2 linked regions of the Caenorhabditis elegans genome follow. Changing the gene in region 2 together with the main gene of any one other region gives a genetic interaction. Each region holds a gene or a part of one and is shown on either strand. Other genes may lie near its edges.

What was found.
Region 1: of let-653 (region 2) and ark-1, changing one enhances a phenotype caused by changing the other (phenotypic enhancement), as found in Caenorhabditis elegans (one large-scale study listed by BioGRID).

Annotation. Positions count from the first base shown.
Region 1 is NC_003282.8:12,628,008-12,632,942, reverse strand, and holds the start of ark-1 (Ack-related non-receptor tyrosine kinase), read left to right. Parts: upstream 1-1,920; 5' UTR 1,921-1,976; coding exon 1,977-2,050; intron 2,051-2,162; coding exon 2,163-2,248; intron 2,249-2,674; coding exon 2,675-2,849; intron 2,850-3,468; coding exon 3,469-3,703; intron 3,704-4,263; coding exon 4,264-4,584; intron 4,585-4,935. UniProt on the Caenorhabditis elegans protein: Probable tyrosine protein kinase which plays a role in vulva development, probably by acting as a negative regulator of the let-23/EGFR and let-60/ras pathway. Involved in the negative regulation of germline development.
Region 2 is NC_003282.8:11,883,558-11,891,655, reverse strand, and holds let-653 (Protein let-653), read right to left. Parts: upstream 6,042-8,098; 5' UTR 6,039-6,041; coding exon 5,978-6,038; intron 5,927-5,977; coding exon 5,633-5,926; intron 5,211-5,632; coding exon 4,932-5,210; intron 4,887-4,931; coding exon 4,681-4,886; intron 3,233-4,680; coding exon 3,072-3,232; intron 2,960-3,071; coding exon 2,483-2,959; intron 2,100-2,482; coding exon 1,803-2,099; intron 1,573-1,802; coding exon 1,203-1,572; intron 1,106-1,202; coding exon 922-1,105; intron 874-921; coding exon 764-873; 3' UTR 575-763; downstream 1-574. UniProt on the Caenorhabditis elegans protein: Required for epithelial tube development and shaping. Involved in the morphogenesis and function of the three unicellular tubes of the excretory system, the canal cell, the duct cell and the pore cell.

The sequences.
Region 1 (4,935 bases), 740 kb from region 2:
GAATTTTCATATAAAAAAGAATTAAAAAAAAACATATCCTGGCTTCGCAGTGTTACGCTATTCGAAATTTTGTGTGCAGTTTTTTCTGAAATTTTCTTTTCAGTATTTCATCTATGATTTTTTTTAGAAAAATGATTTTTCAAAACTTTTCTTTCATCTCGTGGCAAGACCTATCCGAATGAATTCGTGCGCCTTTTTAAAACCTTGCAAAAAATTCAAAAACTTTAGAATCTCCGTAACAATAAAGCAAAAGAAACTTTACATTCATTAGCTAATTGTATCTAACCGTCTGCGCCTCATGTTCGCTTGAAGTCATACACTATTTCAAAGTGTACTTCAACTACAACCACCAGTACTACTATTACAAGATATTCGCCCTTTTTTCTTTTTTTTTCTTTCTTCTCCATGTGTTTCCACATCCAATTTGATTGATGGTCTTTCCCGTTTTCTCCTTCATTTTTTCGGAATGGAGCTCCTTTTTTTATTCGATTGTTCTCGGGATATATGCAATATTAGAGTTTTTCTTTGTTTTTTACGTTTCCATGTAGTATGCTTTAATCCTTTCGCATTTTTCTGAAAATATTGCTTAAAGGCGCACGTAATTTTCCGGATGGGTCTCGCCGCAAAAAAAACAATGGGTAATAAATATCACTTATTGAAGCACTTTTGGAGCACATCCATATTTTAAAAATCAATGTATGTTGTGTTATTATCACAATTTTAAGTTTAATTAATTAAAGAAAAAAATTGAATCTACCAAAAACTTTATTCGCCGCGAGACCCATCTGGCTAAATCCGTGCGCCTTCGACTACAGTTTTCAGAAAATTGAGAAGTTACGATATTGTTTAATGAACCATGCGGCGATAAATTCTTTTCGAAATTTTTTTTCAACTTCCCGTCTTTCTAGTTTAATTCGAATTCAGAATAGTATCAGTCTAGTTAATGGTTTTTGCGGGTTTTTTATTTGAAAGCATTTTAGAAAATTTTATGGTAGCGCTTTCCGATTTTTATATTTTTTATTTATTTTCATGATTATCATTCGAAATGCTGAGAATACTAAATAGCAGAAATTGCAAGAAAATTTTCAAAGAAAAATCTAAATTTGTACCATACACGTTTGTTTCTCGTGGCGAGACCCAGTCGGAGAATTGCGTGCGCCTTTAAAAACATAAAATACGATACTTTTTCGATACATTTTTTTAACAGAAAAATGTGAATCGTCAATATATTTACATTCCGCAGTATTTCGCTGTAAATGCCTTAAATATTTTCTATTTTTTTTTAATTTCTATTTTCGAAAAATACTGAATTCTCCTATTGCAACAAACTTCCATATTTAGTAAGTTTTCAACACTACATAAATGTGTATTGGAAATGAATTGAAAAATAAAGGGAAGCACGCACAAACACGAATTTGTCGAAATAAATGAATTTTTGCCCGGTTCATTGCACGCAATTCTAAACATGCAGAGAGTGGAAGTGAGAGTGACCAAAAGTTTTTTTTGTTCAATGTTCCTGGGTCTCCTCTCTTTGCATGTAGAAATGTATATCCAATATCTTTTTTTGAACATCTTTTTTCCAAAGAAATGTTTCATTGATTTTTGTTGAAACTCAAATTTTTTAATTTTTTTGAAATTGATTTTTCAGTGAAAAATTGCTCCATTTTCTTAATTATTTATTAGTTTTCAAAAAAACTAGCAATTTCAGAAGTATCAAACACTGTACTCCTTAAAGGCGCATAGCATAAACTTTAAAATACGTGAAATCGTTTCGAGAACTGGCGGGTACGGTATTTGCTATTTTAAACTGTTTTTTCTTCATTTTCTGAACACGTGTCAACACATCCTCCCACGCCTTTCAATTCTGTTATTTTTCCGTTTAAATTGTGTAAAATTGACTGTAAATTCTAAAAATTGCAGGCAAAACAAACGTCAACCGGGGGTAGAAACAACGAAAAAAGAAAAATATTCGAAGAATGCGAGAGGAGCCGACGGCGGGTACCGCTGATGCGACGCTCAATAAACTGCTTCAAGCAGCCGATTTATCAGGGTAAGAGCTGGAAAATTAAGATTATTTGCTGAAAAATGGGGTTTTCAGAAGAAAAATTAACAATTTCTGCGTAAAAACCGAGATTCAAGTAATTAAAAAATAAAATTTTCAGCTACGAATCAGATCTCCGTCGAAAACTAAAACTACGAAATGCTGCCGATTTACAATATGTCGAAGAAGTCGATTTGTTGTCTGTTGGTGAGGATTTTTTTTTTAATCTCAATGAATAATTATTTTAAAAATACCGAAAAAATCACAGTTTTGTTAGTTTTCCACTCAAAAATAGAACAATAATCTCTGAAAAAAAACCAGAATAACTTCTTTAAAATTCTAAAAATAATATTCGACAAAAAATAATTAAATTTGTTTTGTTTTTTTTTTCTACTTTCTGCCTCTAAATACCATCAATATTTACACAACGATTCAATCGAAACAAGTGTTTATTTTTCTCATTTTTCAATCGTATGACTGCTCATTTTGTGGCCATTTATTTTAGTTTTCTTTTTTTTAATTTGAGATTTTTTAAAATTAGTTTATTTTTCTCTGAAATTAAATTAAAAATTGATCGGAAATTAAGAATTATATTTCAGAAAAAAATCCGAAAAATAAACTTACATTTTTCAGGAATGAGCCGCCCGGAGCAAAAGCGCCTCCGAAAAGAATATACAAAAATGTTTCCGTCTGGAATTTTTGGAAAAGTGAAAAAAGCATTCAAAAGGGCGGAAAGTTTGGATCGAAAAACTTCGAATTCAGTTGCAAATCAAGATGATAATGATCATCATGTAATTCCAATTGAAAAGTGAGCATTTCTGGGAAAAACGTGGAGCAAAATGGAAAATTAAAAAAAATTTTTTTAAAAACTCCAGAAAAAAAGATGTTTTGGCAAAAGATCATTTTTTCAGAATGAAAAATTTGAAAAAATCGAAAGAAAATTAATTTTAAAAGTATGGTATTTTCAGAAAAAAAAACAAAAGAAATAATTTTTTTTTTTCGAAGATTAAAAAATAAAAAATTTTTAGCAAATTTTATTCCTCTTCGCAAGAATAACCACCACATAAAAATATAAGTTATCTACAAAAAAGTGAAGAAAAATATCTAAAATTTAAAAAATCTGATTTTCGTTATTGAAAATCAGAAAAATCGGAAATTTCCAAGCAAATTTGCATTTTATTTATTTTTAGGTTTTAAATTTTAATTCAAGTTTCCTAGAAAACAAACTATTTATTTAAAAATTCCTTGTTTTCAGAAAAAAGTACAGAGGTTTCGACTTTCCGAGATTTTGCAAAATCGAAGAAAACTGTGTTTGCAAATTTGACATTACATCATATTATTTTTTCAACATTGAAAAATCTCTTTTAAAATTGCTCGATTTAATTTTTCGAGAAAATTAATTGAAAACTAAAGTTACAATTTTCCAGAATAACGCTTTGCAAAGAGTTGGGACAAGGAGAATTCGGGTCAGTTTGGCAAGCAGGATGGAAGAATTCAGCAGGAAGTGACGTCATTCAAGTAGCCGTAAAATGTGTTGGATCTGATAAACTACTTGCCACGTCATCATCATTTTTACAAGAAGCTGCAATTATGACACGAATGAGACATGAACATGTTGTTAGACTATATGGAGTTGTTCTTGATACGAAAAAAATTATGTTGGTAAGGATTTAAAAATTAAAATCTAAGCCGGAACAAATCTGGTAATATTAGAATTTTTTGTATATTCAAATTTTTTGTCATAAAACCGAAAAAAAATTTCAAAAAACAATGGAAAAAATATCGTAAAATAGAGTTTTAATGCAATTTTCGATTTTGCTAGAAAAACCCAGAATAAATATTAGATTCTCGTATGCCTAAACGAAGACAAACAAAGACCATTTTTACAGAAAAAAAAAATACCGAAAATTATTTTAAAAATTGAAATTTTTTATGCGACTTTTGAAATTAAAATTAGTATTTAAAAATTGTTTTTAATAAGAAATCTCTATAGAACCCTAGAGCTTGATTTTTTGCATTTTTCATCAAAAAAAGGAAAAAAAAACGGAAAAAATGGTCCAGAACGATGTATTCTAGCCTGAAACTGTCAAACTCACAGCAAAAATTGCGCACTTCTCCTCCTCGTGAGAAAGTTTTAATGATAAAAAATCATAAATTTTCGAAAAAAATTGAACATTTCAGAATTATCTAAAAGTTCAAAAATTATAACAAAAAATTTGCAGGTCTCGGAGCTCGCAACATGTGGATCTTTGCTGGAATGCCTTCACAAACCGGCTCTCCGTGATAGTTTTCCAGTTCATGTTTTATGTGATTATGCTGAACAAATTGCAATGGGAATGTCATATCTTGAATTACAAAGACTCATTCATCGAGATCTTGCCGCAAGAAATGTGCTCGTTTTCTCACCGAAACTTGTGAAAATATCAGATTTTGGACTATCGAGATCTCTTGGAATTGGTGAAGATTATTATCGAAGTGAATTTACACCGAATCTTAAGCTTCCTATTGCTTGGTGTGCACCGGAGTGTATTAATTTTTTAAAGGTATTGCAAAAAAACATTTGCTGAAATTTACCAAATTTTAATTTTTCCCCAATTTTGAACAATTATTCAATTTTCAGACCCCTTTTTGTTCGAAAATTTCACAAAATTTCGGCCTAAACTCCGATAATTCGCAAAAATAAATATTAAAAACGAAGAAACAAAAAATTCCAATAAAATTTTCTTTTTTTATTTCAAATATTACATTTCAAACAAAATTTTAAAAAAATGTATTTTTGAAAAGTTTTATTTTAAAAAAATATTTAAAATTGAAATGTTATAAGAATTTTTAAATTCATACAAAAACCGTTTTTATAATATTTCTAAAAATCTATAAAACATAATTCTTTAACA
Region 2 (8,098 bases):
CTTCTAGACTTCGCTTGCAAGTTCTACAAACCTCAATGACGCAATTGCGGTATTATATTTAGGTATTTAGTTCATTATATTTTCAGTATATTTTTAGTATTAACTGTCTGGTAGCTGCTTTGATGATGGTAAACGACGTCGAACAAGTCAACACGACATTTGATTCAGCATCGAGATATCGAACATGTAGGAATTTAATAGGGAACGAATCGAAATGTTTGAGGATAAAACTCCTCGACCTAATTTATTTCGGAAGATTGAGAATTTTTATTAATGAAAAACCAACATCTGGATTGACATAAACGGCTTTTAGTTCCTTTTCGCATTTTTCGGGGAGAATGAGATGAATATCTGATATATGATGAACATGATAAGAATATGAATTTTAGATTTTATTAGGTTACTTAATTCTAGAGATTTCATGAATTGGTATGTCTTCAAAACTCAAAAACTCGCCATTATCTTAATTTGTATTCCATGTACCATTTATTAATTTTATGAAGTTTTTTATGTTCACATCTATGATATGTTTATACAACTTCCCCAGTATTTCAACGACTTGCAAAAATAATATCAAGCGATGAAATATTTTATTATCAATCAAAATGGTGAATTCATCAAAAAATTTAACTTAAATCATAAGAAGAATAACTCCAAGAGTTTTCCATGTGAGACCCGCTCGTGTGGCGTTTGGATAATTGAATGAAAGAAGAATAAAAACAAAGTTATAAAGCTGACATGAAGACATTTTTTGTGTGTATTTTCAGATGTTTCCAGTTCGAACGTAATATCTCAATTGATCTTCAGAGTTGACAACAATCAATCGACGCCGAACAAGATAATCTCCGCCGAGTGCGATTCTTTGTTGTTCTTCTGAAACTTATTAAATATGGATTGGAAATAAACTAAATTTGAACCAACCAACAACGCTTGTGAAATTTTTAGATTTCGACGGATTTCTTGCAAACGCGGACGGTGAAATTCCGAACTGAGAAGCAAGTTCTGGGTTTGCTTCCAATGCTTTTTTGATGTCTTCAAGTGATAATTCTCGCCTGTATCGATGCATGTAGCTACTGTCACAGCCTTCCACGTCGTCGCATGTGTTCTGAAATTTGTTTGAACTTTTAAAAATTCAGATCACTTGCGACCATCTGTTTGACAAAGATTATTATTTTCTAGACACTAATCAAGCTTCAACTCACCTTCGGACACGGAGCAAATGGACATATTCTCACGAGACAGGAGTACTGTACTTGTCCAGTTGTTTGATATCTGAATGCCTCAACGGAAACTTTTGCTCCAAACTCAGAATGTGTTGGTGGGCAGACGAGACCAACACCGTCAGCAGGACATCCATCTCTTATGATGAACAGTGGCTCGTGCTCCCATTCATATTTTGGATCAATTGGCTCAACTTGGCAACCACGAACGTCTACGTACTCCGGTGGAATTGGATAGTGTGGACGGAATGATAGACTGATTTTTGTTCCAACAACGACGGCTTCAACTGGTTGTCCGTTGTGGAAAATATCGAAAATCACTGGAACTTTTGGTTTTCCGGCAAGTGTTGAGCTGAAATTATACTTTTTTAAAATTGAGATTTTGCAGAAAATTTGATAACTTTTAAAAAATAGTTTTTTATTAAAAAAAGCCGCTCGTGAGAAACTGGAAAATTGGAAGTTTGAAAGTTTTAGAGAACAAAAATGTTGAGCTTGCCGTTTTTGAAACAAATAAAAAAATGAATTTTCATAACTTTTCCTTGTTGTAATATACTTTGGTTTGACAAAACTTAAAATACTTACCCATCATGAGCCACCGATGCAACGGAAGATGCGGGAGCTCCTACATGAGTGGTCGTTGTTTGTGGTGACGTGGGCGTACTTGTAGTAGTTTTAGTTGTTGTAGATGCCGTTGTGGATGGTAATGTTGTTGTTGACGTAACGGTTGTAGGTTTTTGTGTGGTTACTGTGGTTGTTGATGAAGAAGTTGTAGCTGTCTCTGTAGTGGTTGGCTTTGGAGTTGTTGTAGTGGTAGCAGTTGTTTTGGATGGTGTGGTTGGTACGGTAGTTGAAGTTTGTACGGTAGTAGTTGGCACATCACTGAAACAACAAAAAACGTTTAATATTGGAATTTAATATGAAAAAATCATGAATAATTCAATTTTTAAAAATGCGGTTTTTCAATTGTGACTAATTTCCCTGTTTGAATTTCCTTCAAAATCAGAATTGCAAGACCAATCAGCAATTTTCTACGCTCACTTCTAAACCAATCAAACGGAGTTGTGGAACTTGAAGAAAATTCAAATAGCGAGATTAGTCGCAATTGAAAAATTGCGTTTACAAAGTTGAATTTTTCAGTCTTACTTTTTTGATTATTAATTAAAAACTGAAAAAAAACAACATCACAAATTTTTTTCACGAAAACCAAAAAAATAATTACCAAACAAATGGTTAGATATGAAACAAATAAAATAAAAACTTGCATTTTCTGTGTACTTGGATGTTTTGTAGTAAAGAGCCGAGCTCTGGCAAAACTTGAATCTTTTCCTACGATTATTGCAACTTTTGAAGTTGCCGACATGATAGTGGATCTGCGAGGGTTAGCTGGTTTCCTGGTTGTAGTACTTGGTGGAATTGTGGTTGAAGTAGTAGTAGAAGTTGTTGTACTTGGGGAAGTAGTTGGCTTAGGGGAAGTTTTTGTAGTAGTAGTAATAACAACAGGGGATTTGGTGGTAGTGGTGGTAGGTTTTTGGGATGGTTTTGGGGTTGTGGTTGTTGTGGTCGTCAACTTTTTAGTAGAAGTTGTAGTTGATGGTTTCTTGGTTGTAGTCGTAACTTGCCTTATTACTTCTGTTGTGGTAGTCAATGGAAGTGGGAATGTGTTTTGAAGGGCTTCATCATCTCCAGTTTTCGAGAGTAACTCAAACAATGCATGCGCTGATGCTTCCATTGCCTTGTTTCTAAACATATTTAACTAATCATTCAAACAATCATTCAAACTAATTCTGTATTAGGAGTGAAAAAATTTAAATGAAATAAAACAACTAATAAATAAATTCTAGCAAGTTTTACCTGTTATCCAAATGAGCCGAGGATTTTGTGTTAGCGGGATCCTTTGCTTTTACACCACTAATTGGACATTTTGCCTGGTATGTCAAATCTTCAGGAGTAATGAAATAAAGTGGCTCTATTCCATCAGTAGATAAGACAACTTCAAGTACCATTTCGTTTCCCTGGAAATTTGTATTTTGAAAAATATCATGAGAATATATTAGGGCGGCAAATAAGTTTTGACGTATTTCGTCAATTTACGGTTTTCCTTAAATTTTATATGGGTGACTTATAATATGCAGTAAGTATATACAAGCTTATTAGTTTTAGCTATTTCAGCCAGCTTCTCGGTACTTTGATCTGAAAAAATTCAAAATTTTTTCGAAATTTTTTTTTTGCGATTTTTTGAGTTAGGCGTTACAGTTTTGATGTTAATATCTAAATCAATTAAGTTTTGTTTGTAGATTACAAAAATTGAATCCTGACTCGATTGGACCACACCCAAAACTTTTATAGCCAATCAAAGTCAAAAAGTGAGGTGTACTAAAAATTTGTAATTTTTCAGATTCAATCTTTTCTTAACATTTCAAACTAAAAAATGGATACGTTCATCCAAGTAATTCATTTTATAACAAGTCTGGTCAGTTCCAGGCTCCGTTGGGGATTTATGAGTTCCAACTTTTACAAGATCTGGGATGTTCAAAAGTCCGTTATGCTATTTTCCAAATTATTTTTTTACAAAAAAGCATCAAATATCATAAATTGAAGCCTGTTTCTTTCACGTGAGCACTAATTTTTGCTTTTTTTGTACAAACTAACTTCCTAAAACTTTAAGTTTTTTGATCAAAAGTTCAAATCTTTTTTCTTGGTAGACAACTTGGAACCATATGAAAAACAAAGATAATACAGTAGAAACAAACATAATTTTATAATATTTGATGCTTTCTTGTAAAAATATAATTTGGAAAATAGCATAACGGTCTTTTGAACATCCCAGATCTTGTAAAAGTTGAAACTCATAAATTCGAAAAGGAGGTTTGAACAGACCAAATTGGTTATAAAATGTTTTACTTGGATAAACGTATCCACTTTTTAGTTTGAAATTTCAAGAAAAGATACAAATTTTTAGTACACTTCACTTTTTGACTTTGATTGGCTATAAAAGTTTTGGGTGTGGTCCAATCAAGTCGGGATTCAATTTTTGTAATCTACAAACAAAACTTAATTGATTTAAATACTAATATCAAAACTCTGACGCCTAACCCAAAAAATCGCAAAAAAAAATTTCAAAAAAATTTTGAATTTTTTCAGATCAAAGTACCAAGAAGCTGGCTAAAATAGCTGAAACTGATATGCTTATATATACTCACTGCCTACTATAAGTCACCCATATAAAATTTGAGGAAAACCGTAAATTGACGAAATACGTCCAAACTTATTAGCCGCCCTAATGACTTGATGCAAAAATAATGATAGTTTGACACAAAAACATAACCTACGATATTGGCACAAACAAAATTGGTTTTTTTTTCAGACCAAGAAATCTTTTTCAAAAATGTTTGATCATAGTTGTAATTTTTTTAAACCATTTTTTGGCAAATTATGTGTTTTGGACACTTTCTGATCTTACCTTGTACTTAATAGAATCCGAACAGTTCTTGCTGACAGTCTGATATGGGAAAAAGTGATCGAATTCAGTGGCTTCTTTTGGTTCAGTCCGACAAGTGAAGAAGTCATAAAGTCCATAAATGGCTCCAGTATAAGGAAGACGAGACTTGACGCTGACTGAGATTCCATTATCACGACATTCATGTTTGAATGTGAATGATTCGGATACTGAAAATACTTCAAATGAATACTTTTCTTTTCCAATTCACTTACAATTGTAACAGTTATTCTCGTAATAATCAATTCGATAGTTGGGGTTATTGTTCAATCGAATGGCTTCCGGTCGTGAAATTTGTGAATCCTTAGACATATGACATCCTCCGTCTGTTCTATTGAAGGAGATTGAACGGCATTCAAATGATTTTTCATCCAAACAATCCGAAAGACACTCTTCTAAATTTGCTTTTGTTGTCCATTTTATAACTGACTTTTGATCCATATAACGATCCGAAAGATATGTGAATGCGTATTCTCCAGAACATTTTCGAGTGGCTGAAAAAAAACAGTTTGACTTTTTTAATATAAAAAAAAACATTCCAGAAATCAGGATTTTGAAGTACAAAATAATAAAAAATTAAAAAATGGCTTCAAATGGATTTCACATTTTTTCCTGAAAATACCTACGCCTGCATTCAGCCTAATTGTTTGTAAAAATGATAACTAAATATACAATATACATAGCTCTGAAACCAGAATTGAGGAATATTTTATTAATTTATGAGACTTTCTTCTACTTTAGAAAGCTCCCACATAGGCGCAAAATACTGGACAGGAAACATGTCTGCCTACCAAGAAAACACTAATTTTGTAAAATTACAAATTTTTATTTTTAAATGACATTTAAGAGCTTCAACTGTATTTAATTTTGAAATTTGAAATAACTTAATCTCATTCCTTATTGAACAAAAACTCACAAGGAAGGCAATATTTCCAGTAGAATGTGAATCGATCATCCGCCTCAACATAACCGTCAACATTTTGTAGTTGATGCGGCTGGAAAACGGCGCAAAGATGTGAAAAGCCATCTGGAGATGCTTGATGATTCACTGCAGCACACTCTAATTGTTTTCCTGGACTGACTGGATCTTCTCCAAGTGAACATGCGGATTGACACCCTTTTAATGAAAGTCTCGCTTCAGCAACTGCCTTGAAGTTGAGACGAACTCGAGGCCATCGAACATAAAATGAGTTACATTTTGGAACGAATGCTGGAAAAAAACCAAAAAATTCTAATTGAAAGTTCAACTTTCAAGAATCACCTTCTGACGATGTAGAGTAGAATGCTATTAGCAATAGTAGAGAAATTAGTGGATGTCGCATTTACTGAAGAGAGCAGATTAGGAAAATAAATGGAAAGAAAATGAAGAATTGAGATTGGTGGATACGGAACAAAATAAGGGAAGATTATGAACAGACGAGACTGTTTTCGGGTCATTTGAATTGAAATGGGGAGAACGAGGTATAAGCGGAAGAGAAAGCTCCTCCGAAGCACGAATAAGTGGAGAAAGTGGTTAGATAAACAAGTTTAGGTACATCATATTTGGGGAGAAAAACTTCGAATTCCGTGAAGTGAGGAGAATTTTCGTGCTTTGAACTTTATGAACTGCATATGTAGAGCTTAAAATATGTTTTTGGAACCTATACAACAAATAAAGCAATTTATTCCCGAAGTTTCGATTATTTATGAATATGAATAAGAGAATGCACATTGTGTTCAAAGAGATTTTTCAAAAAAGTAATGTACATGTTTTCCGCTCCAGTCTCTCAATTGACAACTTTTTATAACTCTGATGGCAGTTGAGATATTGATGTGATCATATCAATTACAGTAAATCATTTTCTATTTGATGTATGTAGGTATCATAAACTGTTAATCGAATGACGTATTTGCTTTGCTTCTCACCCTCGAGAAACGATTCGGTTCAACCATAAATCGTGAATCTCGCATGTACTTTTATTCGTAATCCAATGATAAGTGAAGTGTGGCTAACCCTATCCTATTCATTGTGTCTATGCCATCCAGTTACTTCAACCGTTCCCTCTATCTCTCTAGTTAACCAAAAACGGAAACCGGTGCGCGTCGACCTCATTGCTTTTCACTTTTTGCAAACAAGCCAGAAATTACCATGGATTCATGGATGACCACTAACTGTTAAAAGAGGATTTTCAGATGATGGGAAAAAAGGGAATAACTGACAATGGGAGAATACAGAAATGACCTTCTCATTCTATTGTAAATGTTTGTAAACTCTAAGATTTAGGAAGATCGAGGTGGAAGAAGAGTGTCTGAGGAACAGATTATGTCACAAAACAGGGAATGAAACGAGAGAAATGACCAAAAACGATTGGTTTCTTCTTATTCGTGTGTCGTCCCGCTCACAGAGGTCAGACTAAGATTGAAAAGGCTAAACTGACGAAGGGCGGTGTATATTCTTACAAAAGTAAGACTAGGTGTGAAATTACTTGATTTTATGACACCAGGTCCGAAACAATAAAATTAAGATAAGGTTTATGGTTGTCAGCTGAGAACAAATTGAAACCGATGGGTACGGTAGAATGCAACGAGGTTAACCAAAAATTTCAAACGTAATTGTTTTAAAAAATTGAACAAAACTGAAATAAAAATAAATGGTGAAATATAGAAAAAATATTTGTCTAGTTTGAAAATAGCATGCTAGAAAAGATTCTCAAAACTACCTGAAACTTGCCGAGAGAACTGCAGTTAAAATTGTTTCGGCGAATGCCAACTTTCCACCATTCTTTAAAATCTTTCTCGAGATTTTCAAATACATATGTATTTTTATATGTTTCTACGGTGATTTTTATTATTCAAATTGAAAAATATATATAATGGAAAGACTACATGAATAACGACATTAAAATACCGTGACAAAAAATTCGAGCAAGATGCTCCTCTCGGGCGCCTCGACCGGATGGAATGTTCGCATACATTTCTACGTAACAACAATGGATCTGAAAAGTATAAGAAAACGCATAGATGGCTGAATTTTCAAATAAGAATGTGAGGAATGATGTGTATGTACTTGATAAAAGAAGATAACTAGGCCATTCTCGAGGTGGAATCCAAAAGGTAAAAGTCAAATAAGCAAATAAGCGAAAGAGAAAACATTGGTGATCCAGCAATAGCTGCTGGCTACCTCTATCCGGAATGATACACTCGGACATTTGTGAGAGAGAGACAGTTAATTGGTTCAGTGTGCTAGGAGGTGAAAAGTGAGAGAAAAAGATGAAGAGGAAGAGTGAGAGATACAACATACGGATAAGGTTAGGATGGACAGTATTGCGCACGCAACCGATCGAGACGACACGGCCTTGACACGCAACAAAAACTTCTTTTCGGGATGATGCCGTACAAGGAG